Neodiprion lecontei: one gene and its partner. The protein of the gene in region 1 interacts with the protein of each later gene in a pairwise test. Links are inferred from orthologs where the notes say so. Each region holds a gene or a part of one and is shown on either strand. Other genes may lie near its edges. The genes, in order: ubiquitin conjugation factor E4 B and E3 ubiquitin-protein ligase CHIP.

Evidence for each region.
Region 2: the proteins of ubiquitin conjugation factor E4 B (region 1) and E3 ubiquitin-protein ligase CHIP interact in a two-hybrid assay, tested with the Caenorhabditis elegans proteins (2 studies listed by BioGRID). The link is inferred for Neodiprion lecontei from reciprocal best matches to the Caenorhabditis elegans genes ufd-2 and chn-1.

Annotation. Positions count from the first base shown.
Region 1 is NC_060260.1:35,856,220-35,864,225, forward strand, and holds ubiquitin conjugation factor E4 B, read right to left. Parts: upstream 6,046-8,006; 5' UTR 5,797-6,045; coding exon 5,773-5,796; intron 4,847-5,772; coding exon 4,556-4,846; intron 4,265-4,555; coding exon 3,839-4,264; intron 3,751-3,838; coding exon 2,384-3,750; intron 2,294-2,383; coding exon 2,146-2,293; intron 2,043-2,145; coding exon 1,356-2,042; intron 648-1,355; coding exon 326-647; intron 212-325; coding exon 147-211; 3' UTR 107-146; downstream 1-106. Other genes in the region: uncharacterized protein LOC107220803, read left to right, coding at 6,683-6,832, 6,936-7,061, 7,168-8,006. UniProt on the Caenorhabditis elegans protein: Acts as an E4 ubiquitin ligase mediating the assembly of polyubiquitin chains on substrates ubiquitinated by another E3 ubiquitin ligase. The elongation of preexisting ubiquitin chains preferentially targets ubiquitin 'Lys-29' and 'Lys-48' residues.
Region 2 is NC_060262.1:16,939,466-16,944,390, reverse strand, and holds the start of E3 ubiquitin-protein ligase CHIP, read left to right. Parts: upstream 1-1,903; 5' UTR 1,904-1,916; coding exon of another isoform or gene 1,917-1,937; 5' UTR 1,938-2,057; coding exon 2,058-2,174; exon of another isoform or gene 2,175-2,188; coding exon of another isoform or gene 2,189-2,227; intron 2,228-2,782; coding exon 2,783-2,981; intron 2,982-4,925.

The DNA of each region.
Region 1 (8,006 bases):
TGGAATGCACCACCTGGTATTTATTTGCACGAATAATGTGACAAAGTTTTTTTTCTATCTTTTCGTTTCTGTCTTTTTTTTCTCTTCAAATTCCTCTTCAAATTCCTCTTCAAATTTTAAATAACTCATCACGTTCTTAGTAGCACTTACATGTTTGCAGACTTTTTCTTCTCCTGTTTCCATGCAGAGATCCTTTCTTTTAAGTCCAGGACTGTGAAAATTACGAGTGAATAATTATTTATTGCCACATTAATTACAAAATATGATAATTAATAAATGTTTGATCATTATTTTTTCAGGACATGACTGATGACGTTTTACTGACCAGGTGTCAGCATGTCTTCACTAAGTGGCTGACGGCTAAATGGATCTGTAGCGCTATTGAGTAGGTGACGAATGATCACTGCTCTGTCCATGACGATACCAGATGGAAGTTTGACAGGCTCTTCCATAAGCGTGTCCATGAGAGGATCACGAAATTCTTCAGGCGCATCCCCATAATCCTCATCACGTGCCTGATTATCCCTTGCAATAGCAGCTGCCCGTTCTGCTAGAGCTCGAAACCGCTCAATTTCAGTCACAGTCTTAATTGCAGTCCTTTCCATTCTACCCGCAGCATCATTAAATAGCTCTTTGCAGAATGAGCGCTGTAATATATTCAACACAAATGGTGAGTGAACTGTCACATTCATTAGATATATCGATTGACTTGCACATATTGTGAATAGCAGAAGTCTGATGTATCGAATATTTTTAAGGTCTCTAATTTATAAGTTTGCTGCATAGCCAAATATATTAATCAACTTCAAATTAAACTTCATATAATACTTTCGAAGAATTAAATATTTTACGATTAATTGTTATTTAACAATTCATTCCTATCTTTGAAATTAGAATATTTAACATTGGTAGTCCTTGCTGTATTACAAATTTTGAAGAGATGTTTCAGGTGACTCACTGTTTTTCTCATTCAATTAAAATGAGAAACAAACAGTTTCTATTGGGTTTTGAATATGTATATGATGAAAGATTTACCAAACAATACAAAAAAGAAGAAAGATAATTGCATTACTTCGCTGTAACTGCTCTTCTGTCAAGTGTATGAATACGACATTCGCTATCCTAGGAGCACGGACATTAAATATATATATCGGTATCGTTTCTGCACTGTTTTGTGTTGTTAGGGTAGTGTTAATGAGTTAATAAATTAATTTTTTCACTTTTTTACTCCAGGTGGTAAATGTTAGTGAGAGAAGGCCAGAGTTACTGAAAGCTAACCATTGTAATAGAAACGTTGAAAAGTTTATTTGCCCAATTCCAAAACAAAGTTGTATATATGTAGTCGTATCTCTTACCTCATCCCCAGCCAGAGCAGCAGCAAAATTATCACAGTCTAGATGCAAGTATATATCGGCTAATTGACTTAACAATGTTCTTGGTTCCCATCCATATTTTTCTGGTTTTTTCACTTTTAGATTTTTACACTTCGGCCCACAAAGCTGTTGCAAATTAAAGTTCAACATGGCACTAAGTCTACCGACCAATTCAGGACGTAAAAATGGTTCTGTGATATCTACAGTCAAGTAATGGAACATGGCAACAGTTTCCTTTGCAAGAGTTAAGTAAGATCTCGCCTGACGTTCGTCGGCCGTTAATTGTCTTGATCTAGATTGTTGCTGATCTTGAGGTAGTGCAGCCCATGCTGCAGTGTTGGACATAAGTTCCTGCACTTCATGAATTCGTTTTAAAGATTCCAAACTTTCGTCCAATAAAAACGTTGTGTCATTCATCAGCATATTTATAAACTTGACAAATTGCTTTCCACTTCTACTTTCGTTGACGATGGAAGCTCTATGAACAGGACTCTCCCACATGGATTTCAATATCAAACTAATATGGTAACGGATCGAAAACTTGTCATAGAATTCCGAGCTGGAACCAGTTGTTTCTACATCTGTATAAAACTTCATAAGGTAAGATGCCAAGAAAGTCTTTGATATCTCGTGTGCCATCACTTGGTCATGTAGAGTTTCTGTTCTCCCCTGTTAAACAATAAAAACTTTTACCGATATTTCATCCTTACCGAGATATGCACTTTTTTGTTCAATAATAAAGTAATAAAGAGGTAGAGCTCTTAGAGCGTACCTGAACACTGGGGTTGATCACAAAGAGTACTTCAATAATTTTAGCAATTAAGTATGGATTGCGAATACAGTGTGGCGTACATATCACAACTAGCAGCCATGTAATCAGCGAATTATCCATATTATTGGCCACTACTGTGGGGCTGAATCTATTGTGAAAAAACAAAAAAAAAAAAACAGTGAATGAAGAAATTTCCCCAAGACAAGACAGGGGTAGATAGACAAAATTGGAAACTTACTGAAGTGCAAAGAGCAAAAATTCTGCAATGTCTTCGACATACCATTCAGGTAAGGCAGTAAATTGAGGTGGAACGTGTTGAGGAAGCGGAAGGGTAGGTAATTCACTACCAGCAGGTCTCTGGGTAAGAAGACCGAGCAGAACGTCGGCAACAGACGTATAAAAGTGAAGAGATCGCCTTAAAAGAACTTGGTCTATCAATCCAGCATCTGCGGAAGATTTTGATCTACCGAGTCGTTTCAACTGTTGTTTCCATCGTTTCATTAACTCCTTGTTGTGCGCTGCAAAAGGAGCATCTTTCCACTGCGGCTCAGTTGCCTGTAGTTCATCCAGCATCTTCTGTAGCTCCCTGAGAGCTCTCAATCTTCTTTGATATTTTTGCAAAGCTGGCAAAAGCGCCAGATGATGACAGTGAAGAGTTAAAAACCAGCATTGAGTTGGAAACTTTGCCTCTGTCCATTTGTGCGTTGACTCCAAGCTCGCAAGCCACTCTGTCACTTCCTGTGAGTTGAGCTTTAATCTGGTATCATTTTTTATTTCAACATAACTAGAAGGATGAAACGGATACAGCGTATCTATCGTGTTGAGCTTAATCTTGACAGCAAGCATCTGGAGAACTGACAACAAATTGAGCATAAAACCATCTCCTGCAAGGGCAAATTCTTCTGTTTGAATTTGAGCCCGTTTTTCATTGTGTCGAAGAAGAGCTGCCAGATACGCCAGTGTAGCTTCTCGGCAGCTACTACTATTTGCAAGAATTGCATGGAACATTTTGTGAAGCGACGATCTAGTGCTTTCAAGCTCCTGCTGTAGAGTTAAATTTATTGACTTATCTGTTGCAGGATTTCCGCTGAAAAATTTTTCCGCAACCTTGGGCTGATCCTCCGCGAATACGGAGACGGAAAGGAAAGGCCCTAAGAATGATGTTCTGGCAAGCTCTCTTCCAACTGCAGTCGTCAAAACGTCAGGTAAAAACTGGGTTTGGTGCGTTATCAACTGACAAATTGGACGAATATTGCCAGTGGATCCACAGCGTATCTCAATTAGTTCTTCCAAGGCTTCGATTGGCCGGCGGTGAGTGTTACCAATCAGGCTTGCTTGCTGCATAGAGAGAAAGAAGCCTTGGAGTAACGGGGTGAAAATCTTGGTGAACACGTGAGGATTAGAGTGAGTTCTAGCCACAAGTTCATGCAGGAAACCTCTAGGTAGGTTTTGCGATAGCACTGGATAGAGAAGTGACGGAGATGGCGTTGACGGTATTACACTTTGGCAGATGCCAACCAATCCTTGTAGAACTAAACTTGCATGTTGCACACACTGAGCCCGCAGTGTGGCCAAAACTTCAGAAAGCGGAGGTGTGCTACATCTCTGCAATTTAGAAACACAAATAGATTGAAAGTGTAAGGCAGATTCATTGCTTAGCGAATTTATTTCAGAGTTGTAAATAGGATTTTACCTTAGGATGATTCCGTTCTTCTACAGCAACTCTGGAGTAGCATTCAAATAAATAAATAAGACTTTTTGGCTGCTGAGACTTGCCAGCAGTGGGCAGAGGTAGTGTGGGTACAGGACAGGAAGGTAGAGTAACAACAGGGCTCAGCAAAGGGCTTGCTTGGCTGCTGGGACTGCCTTCTCGATCGGAAGAAGCATCCGATGTTATTTCTTTCAGTGGATCTTCGCCTCGAGAGAACATGCAGAGCACTTCCATCAGGGCCTGATTAGCAATATCAGTAACATCTGAGAGTTCGTGCTCCAAGGCATTAGCTGCTGTTTGAGGAAGAAATATTGCACCTTCCGTAGATTCTTTCCATGAAACACAGAGGACGCGTGAGACCACTGTGTGAATTTGGTCAACTGTTACCTCTGTACTGGAACTCGTTGTCTGTTAAGGTAAAAATGATTCATATGATTGATGTCGCACATTTGTTTCCAATTTTCCAACGCAACAATATTGTACTGTTCTTCTCAAATCCCAAGGTTGCATTTCTTAACTAGGTTTCTAAGAACTGAAAAGAATACTGATTTTCTACTCACTGAGCCGAATAGTTTACTTTTTGTGTAATGTTATAGTCACTTAGTAAACAAAGAAAGGAAAAAAATGGAACTACACTAAACAAATATTAGTCTGTTAAGTGAATTACGTCCATTTTCTTCAGAGCATCCTAATACACACCCTGGAGCGTGGTGCCAATTCTCTGCGATCAGATTCTTCTACTTCCATATTTTCAATTCCAGAATCTACATCGACGCCAGAAGTGTTGCACTGCTTTTCACTGCTGTCTTCAACTTCCATAGGATGTTCTGGATGCTGTAACTGCTGTGTTGGAGGTGACATTATTGGACCAGAAGACGATCTTGAGGGACCCGGAGTGCCAGGAGAAATGGATCCAGTTCCACTATTTGAACTATTAGTGGAAATACTGGTTTCCAGGCCTGCAAGGCGGGCTAACCGCCTTTTCCTCATCTAAGAAAGAATTATCACATATACCTGATAGAACTTTGGTCAAAAAAAAAAAAAAAAATAAATGACAGATCAGTCATTGCAATAAATCGAAACAAAACACAAAAGCTAACGTTACAGTCAAACAAAGTTTAGTTTATAGAATCGAATTGCAAAAAAAAGCAATGAACACTGATTGCTGTAAAAATCAGTATCATTATACTTGGCATTACTTTACAAAAAAAGCTATGCAGTGTCTTTCAAGTTATAATTAAATGTAAATCACAAAGTATGGCAAACATGTAGTATTGTACATACAGGTCAGTCATCCTTTGTTCGTGACAAAGGAGAGGAAATAATATTGCGCAGATTTTTTTTTTTGGGAGCCAAGTAAACAAGAGTTGCTTTGCCAGATCTATATTTAGCTTCTGTTGTTTAGTTATTCCAACCAAGAAAGCAAAGTTATTACACAGTAATCAAATGTTTTACGATTGATTTTTGTATGTTTGAAAAGCATGTGATTAACATAACTGAATTACACACTTTAATTCTAGACTCTAAATCTGGTCGAAGTACTCTTGTAGCTAGACAAAAAAAAGCATGAAAAACTGACAACAAACAAGCATGTCTTCGAATGACTCTCATTTTTGTGACAATTATAGGATCCTGCATACTTGATGAGTGTTAAGAAACAAGATCAATCGTGGTATCACTTGATACCGTTATTTTTTAACAGAAAATCATGATTAGCTATTCAGCAGTAAAACTAATGGGAATCGAAATGGTTGTATTGTTATTATTTATTATTATATTCATTTTAAGGTCGACAAAATCTGTGGCGGAGACATCGGTTGGTTCTACTGTCCCCTCCTAACCCTTTGGATTGCTTACTTTCCAGTGAACTCACGAGATCATCGTTGATAAATTAACTAGCGTAATATCGGACTCACCTCTTCTTGACTTAATTCGCTCATGGCGATATCTCTTCTATTCCCGGTGAAACGCGCTCTACACCTCGTAGGCCGTAATCTAATTACTACTTATATAAATGTACAAAATCTCTGCTTCGCAAAATCCGTATCCGTAGCTGTTGAGATGTGTCAGAAATTCGGACAGTCACTCCACATCTGTTTGCGTTTAGACGGTAGATTAGCGATTCTTTACAGTTCACGGACACAACGTCAATTGTTCGAAACAGCTGAGCTATCCCCTTAGAGCATGTACCACTGGAAGTAGCCGCGCGTGTACAAAAAGCATAATCGGACGGGGCGGGGGGGGGGGGGGATAGAGCAGTAGACAGAGCACGTAAGCCATGTACAACCTGTCTCTCTCGCTCTACAAAATGGTTGGCCGATACGTTTTCTTTTACCCAATAACATCCAGAGTGAGAGAGACGAAGTATCCAGGGTAAGCCGAGGATACATAATCTTGCCTTCTCGTCACCACGGTCACAGTTTTCGCGCGGTTGACGTCATGAGCAGCTACCCCCAGTAGTATATGATCTAAGGTTATCCCTGGTCCAGAATCAGTCAACGTGCGCCATCTCGAGAATTTAATTGAAAACACCTTATTCACCAATCCAAAAACGTAGACAAAAACAGATAAAACGATTTTAGATATTAGAAATTTGCAAATGTATTTGATATAGCAGCTGTAAGCATTCTCGGGATCTCTCTAAGATCAGTATAGTGCTTATTTGTCATTATTCGTAGTTCGAGAAGGTCCATTTGTGAAAATTGGGGCGTCGATAAATCAGAATCCGTAGTTTGAAAGGCGCGCGGAAATTCTGAAGTACATGCAAGAAGCGCCAGCAAGCGATGTACTGTTGACCTACTATCGTTTTTTAATAGTCAGTTAAACATGGCTGGCGAAAAGTTTGCTTCCAGTTCTCGGCACGTCAAAAATTGTGATAGAACGAGTGACAGCAGTGATTCAGCGCTGAATACCGACCTGGAGGATGATTATCTCGACGCTATCGAAAATATACCATACCCGGAGTTTCAGTTTGCCGTAAGTTCGGTTCAATAATTTTTTCCATTGTCAAATGCTCGTCAGGCGTCCTACATTGGATTCTGGTGGGCATTCTCTAATATTTTTCCTTTTTATCTCGCAGACAACAACTTGTTACATTTGCAACGGGTATTACGGACCTTGTTTCGAAGAGCCTGTTTGTGCGACCTGCCACGCGTTTTTATTCCCAGATGATATCGGGCTACTTCAAGTGCCGATATTTAGCGAGGTCAGTATTACTATGACAACTATTTCTTTACTTTTATGTGACGTGAGGTGGGAAATGGCGAAATATTATCATTGAATCATTTTGACGTCACCCTTATTGTTAACAGAAAACTGACGACGAAGACTCTGGCAATGACGAGCCTACAGATCTTTATTACAACCCTGAGCGACGCACGAGTCAGCAACAACACAATTCTCCACAGAATTCAAATCCAGTAGCTGCAAATTATCAGAATGCCCCAATATCAGCATTGAATTTGAATCAATCACCATATTCACCCTTTCAAAATGTTCCTGCTTTGAGATGTAATCATCCCAATGCACTCGGATGTAGCACAGGCATCAATCTTGGTGTACATATGAAAAATCTGGTGCCTCAAAGCAGTTCAAGTTCAAATCCGCAAATGAATCGGCCATTTGTGCAAAATAACATAAGCAATGACCAAGCTCAATGTCAGTTCCCGGTTAACGTTAACCCACCAAACCCACCAAATAATCTTAGAAATACACCACCGCCAATTCCAAACATTCAAATCCCAAACAACCGGGCAGACGATCCTGCCGAAGATGATTTTCCCAGCCCAGAAGACCTGGTTCCACTTGGAGAAGGTGAGAACTTTGGAAATGATGTTCAGAATAGACAGTACAGATGGAATTTTCAAATACATGGTGATATTGGGGAGCCTTCACGCCCCCCCAGCTTATCCGAGAGACTGGATTTGCTCTCCAATCACAAACATCTGGAACATGAGCGAATAAATGAACCTGGCCTGGTGGACAGGCTGCCGCCAGAAGTTCTCTTCGCAGTATTTTCTCATCTTGATGACATGAGCTTATGGTCGGCTGGCAAAGTGTGTAGAAGATGGTGTGGCCTGCTCTCGACACATGTAACGCCTCAGCAGTGGCAACAGTACGTCAAACTACGCTGGCCTTTGTACAGGCCAAT
Region 2 (4,925 bases), on another chromosome or scaffold:
GTCGTTCCGGCATTCACGGCGTAAGTCGAAAAAAACGTAAGTCGGGGTGCACGTTTTATACAACTGTATAATGTACATATATATATATATATATATATATGTATAAATACTCACCAGAGATAATCATGTATATACCTCATAGAAAACCTCTGAAGAAGAATGAAAAATACTCTTTATTTTGGAAATGCAAAATGTTCGAGCACAGTCGTCTGCCGACACAAAGATTTTTTTTTCTCGCGCACAGTCACTATCCGTAGACTGAGCGAATAATCGAATACAATGTAATGCACTGACGGAAAATAAACATGACCATTCAAGTTTGCGACAAGGAGAAGCGGAGTTGGGCGGGGGGGGGGGGGGGGGGGGGGCGACCGATGGCGTAACTTCATAAAACGAGACCACAACGATTCGTACCCGTTTTGTTTCAATCGTATTTTTCGAACATATTTCCAAATATTTACAAATGGTGAATGGTGATATTTATGAAATCATTTTGAAAATACTTCGTGCTGTGTAAAATTAATATTGCGCGATATGTTTTAATGTATATGGGACATTCTTTTACAACCAAACACCTTTGTGACCGACACATTTTTGATTCAGCTGAAATTTTTTTTGACGAGTTCTATACCGAAAAAATAGGGATACGTATTCGAGGATTTTTTATTTCACATATTTCGTAAAATAGAGGGGATCGAAAATTTGATAATTTGGTGTTTTTTGGCTTGGAAGACTCACTTTCAAAAATTCATAACGCCGGTTCTATTTGAGCTGGAAAGTTCGTTTTTTTCATCTCAAAGCTAATTAAATGAATTTTATTACAACAATTCTTTCATTAACGATTATTCCGATGTTTATACTGTTATAAACAATTAATATGTTCCGATCGATTTTTAAAAATTGGCTCAACCTCGTAGCGAGTTCTTAGCACAACCATCGTATTCTACGTCAAATTTTTTATCCATAACGTATTTTGAATTGATGGAGAATACGATGGTCGTGCTGAGAACTCGCTACGAGGTGAAGGCAATTGCTAAAAATCGATTTAAACATATTAATTATTTATAACAATATAAATTTCGGAATAATCGTAAATGAAACAATTGTTGCATTAAAATTCATTTTATAAGCTTTGGGTTCAAAAAACGAACTTTTCAGCTCAAACTGAACCGGCGTTATGAATTTTTGAAAGTGAGTCTTCCAAGCCAAAAAACACCAAATTATCAAATTTTCGATCCCCTCTATGTTACGAAATATGTAAAATAAAAAAATCCTCGAATACGTATCCCTATTTTTTCGATATAGAACCCGTGAAAAAATTTTAAGCTACATCAAAATTGTGTCGGTCGATTTTTATCTAAATCTCTCCGATTCGTCAAAGAATGTCCCATATTCAAGGGTGTTTCACGGAACAATAAATTGAATTTGCTATATTCAGCGTAAAACTATCAAAATAATCAGTTCGGTCGTGATGCAATCGCTACACACATGACGTCATCATTTGCATGCAAAATTCGGGTCAATCCTGTTGGTATGGTTACCGACTCAGATTCAGGCCTCTTACCGACCGTGTTTTGTCTAATATTGTGTTGCGCTACTCCCCGGTGGAGAGTACCACCTTCGAATGGTTTGGAACCGAGGAAACTTACGCAGAGGGCGCTTCGTTCGATTACAACTTTCAGATCCAGGTCAGCGGCACCATAAGATCACAAGAAGCCACGATCTACTTCATGAGCAGCGCTGCTGCTGCGTAAACTTACCAGACTGATGCTAGTGAAAACTTGTAAGTTACTAAACCACTGCTGCTTTTTACTGCTCATGAAATAGCACCCTTAAGCAACGGCGGCTGGGTGGAGCTGATAATGCTGATGGCCGTGACTTATGGTTTGTTACCGTGGTTTGTATGGATAACCAAAATGGAAGCGAACGTACTTGAGGTTATACAACAATGACAGATTTAATTCAAATCCAGTTTTATTTCCCTTAAAAGAACCGCGCATAGCACTATAGTGTATTAAAAATTGAGCATCTGCCCTATTTCTGACATATCGAGCGACATGAGTAAGATGTATTCAACAACTAACCTTTCTGATAAGGAGTTGAAAGAACAGGGGAACCGCTTGTTCAATTTGCACAAATATGAGGATGCAGCCAGTTGTTATACAAAAGCAATCGTAGGTATTGTTCGATGACTAAAAGCAAGAGATATTGGATTATTATATCACGTGTACGTATTTTCGTACGCCTTCATATTTAGAAGGATCCCACACACACCAGCTGATGATAACTATATATGACTAACTTTTGATGAACTGGTGTTCATAGCATTGATATAATAATACAATTGGAGAAAAAATTATTATTCCGTTGCTCTAGAATTGTCTAACATTAGATATATCATAATGAAGCGGAACGTGTTCATATTTTGCAAATTTAGCTACCATAAAATCATTCTGATCATAAGAGTGATTTTTTGTTCAGGGTTTTATTTTAATGTTGCAAACTTGAACCTTGTGACTTTTGAATACATGTGCAGTTTTGTATTAGTGGAATAACCTGATTTAGGATCAAGTGGATGACGAAGTTCTTATGCCACAGTTAATTGTGCGCTTTGTGCTGCGTGATGTGCAGAGGATTCTTCCAAAACATAGAGGTGTACAATAGTCACCACAAATGCTAACATTTTATCGTGACCATTGGTTCAGTTTTCGACTGGAGTCTCCACCTGAATGAAGGTTCACATCAGTGCTCAAAGACAATTATTCACTATATTTTGTTATAGATCAAAAATCCAACTCAAGCTACATATTTCACAAATCGTGCCTTGTGCCACCTCAAACTCAAACGATGGGACTCGTCCTGTCAAGACTGTCGAAGAGCTCTTGATATAGATCCCTGTCTAGTCAAGGGTCATTTTTTCCTAGGCCAAGCACTTCTTGAACTGGAACTATTTGACGAAGCTGTCAAGCATCTTCAGAGAGGTAACAGCTCATATTCGTTTTCAAAATTATGTACCCTAAGAATATTTAAATTATGATTGTTGAATTGAAGACTAAGCACAATTGACTAGCGTGTAAATGAACTCTTGAGCCATGCGTAATTTTTATCTCTAAAGATTCATGACTGTTACACAGAAATCGACCTATTATACATGTAGGTAATTGTACATCCCGAATCTTGCACAGTAAATTAACTTGCAGAGTCAATTAGCTATTCGGAAGCCTGTTTACTGAAACTATTTTAAAAAACTTAATCTCATAATAAATATTCCGTTCAGTACCTTCATCCTCCTTATAAAAACTGAAAAAAAAAATTACTGCAATCCTTTTTTTACGGCAATGTGTTCTGGTTGTGTCAACCCTTTGATGTACAAGATTTCCTTGTACGCTAGCCCGAGTTATATATTCCTACTGTACTTTTCTTTCCTCAGTTTTCAGTCGATTTTTTTTGAGCCTTATCATTATGTTTGCTAGATATGTCTACCTGATGTTTGGGATGTTTGCTATTTTCTGTAGATCTTGGACCACTTACAGATGGTCAATGGCTTATTTTTTACACAATTTCCCAGACTGTTGTTCGATATTATATCATAGGTTGTATGAGTCCATAATAAAGTTACTTCATCATATCATTTGCAATCTTGATTATGGTCGTGTAGTGATCCGTGGTCATCGTCTGCAATACCAACGAAGATCGAGTCACATAGAAGCGTACGGCTTATGGGCCGCTTGAAGCAAAACTTTCCACGACTCGTAAATCCGTAAGATGGCTCTACCGTCGGTCGACAGTAGAGAGTTAGCACGATCACCCCAACTCGCCAGTCGGAGCCAACACACCGACACTGTTCGCATTAGTATAGAGCGCTGTACGTGAGCCACACAAGCAAAGGCGCCACTAGCGACACCTAGCTGTTGGGGGGATAGCTCGTCCGAGCACCCCAACTTTTCTTGCTTCAAATAGCCTGCAGGCCGTACGCTTCTATGGGACTCAATCTTCGTTGGTAATACTGCTGCTGTTATTTCTTTGGTATTGTCTCTTTTAACATACAGGGTGAGTCAGTTAAAACGGCCAGAATGGGAGGAGCTCAGTTGACGGATCAGGCCATACCCCTTAGCGAATCTGGAGCGAGTCAATTGAAATACCGAGAATGGGAGGAGCTTTGTTGACGGATTAGGCCATAGCCCGCGTGTTGATATCAAAGTAAAGTTTGCAGTCTGCGTACAGGTATTCAGTGGTAATACGAAATAAAGTCACGATATGACACCAAGTGAGGGAATAAACTCTTATTATGATCCGTCACTTGTTGTCATATCGTTACTTTATTTCGTATTACCACTGAATATCTGTACGCAGACTGCAAACTTTACTTTGATATCAACACGCGGGCTACGGCCTAATCCGTCAACAAAGCTCCTCCCATTCTCGGTGTTTCAATTGATTCGCTCCAAATTGGCTAAGAGGTACGGCCTGATCCGTCAACTGAGCTCCTCCCATTCTGGCCGTTTTAACTGACTCACCCTGTATATGTGATCTATACATGTACTGCTTGTTTCAGTCTCGTGTATTGGTGTAATAACCGCTGATGTGTATCCATGCTCAAGCACCATGTTTCAGTAATCTTCCTTCCTTCCCAGATCTCGCTGTTTTTGCAGATTTATATGTCTGCTAGCTGGTGGCTCAAGGCTACAAAAAATTGAGAAAATCTGAATAAATTCATGTAGTTTAAAGAATCCTCGGTCAGTCAGCGATGTTCTGGGACACCTACTGAATATGTAAAAATGATGAGTAGCGTGCAAAATCTTAGGAAAAGCTGAAAATTTGTATACTGGTGTATTGAAGCATTAGGGATACACATCCACTTGTTAGTCACTCTAATTCCGGGACCCGACCTATTCAGTCAGCATTTTGATGATGCCCGAAAATAG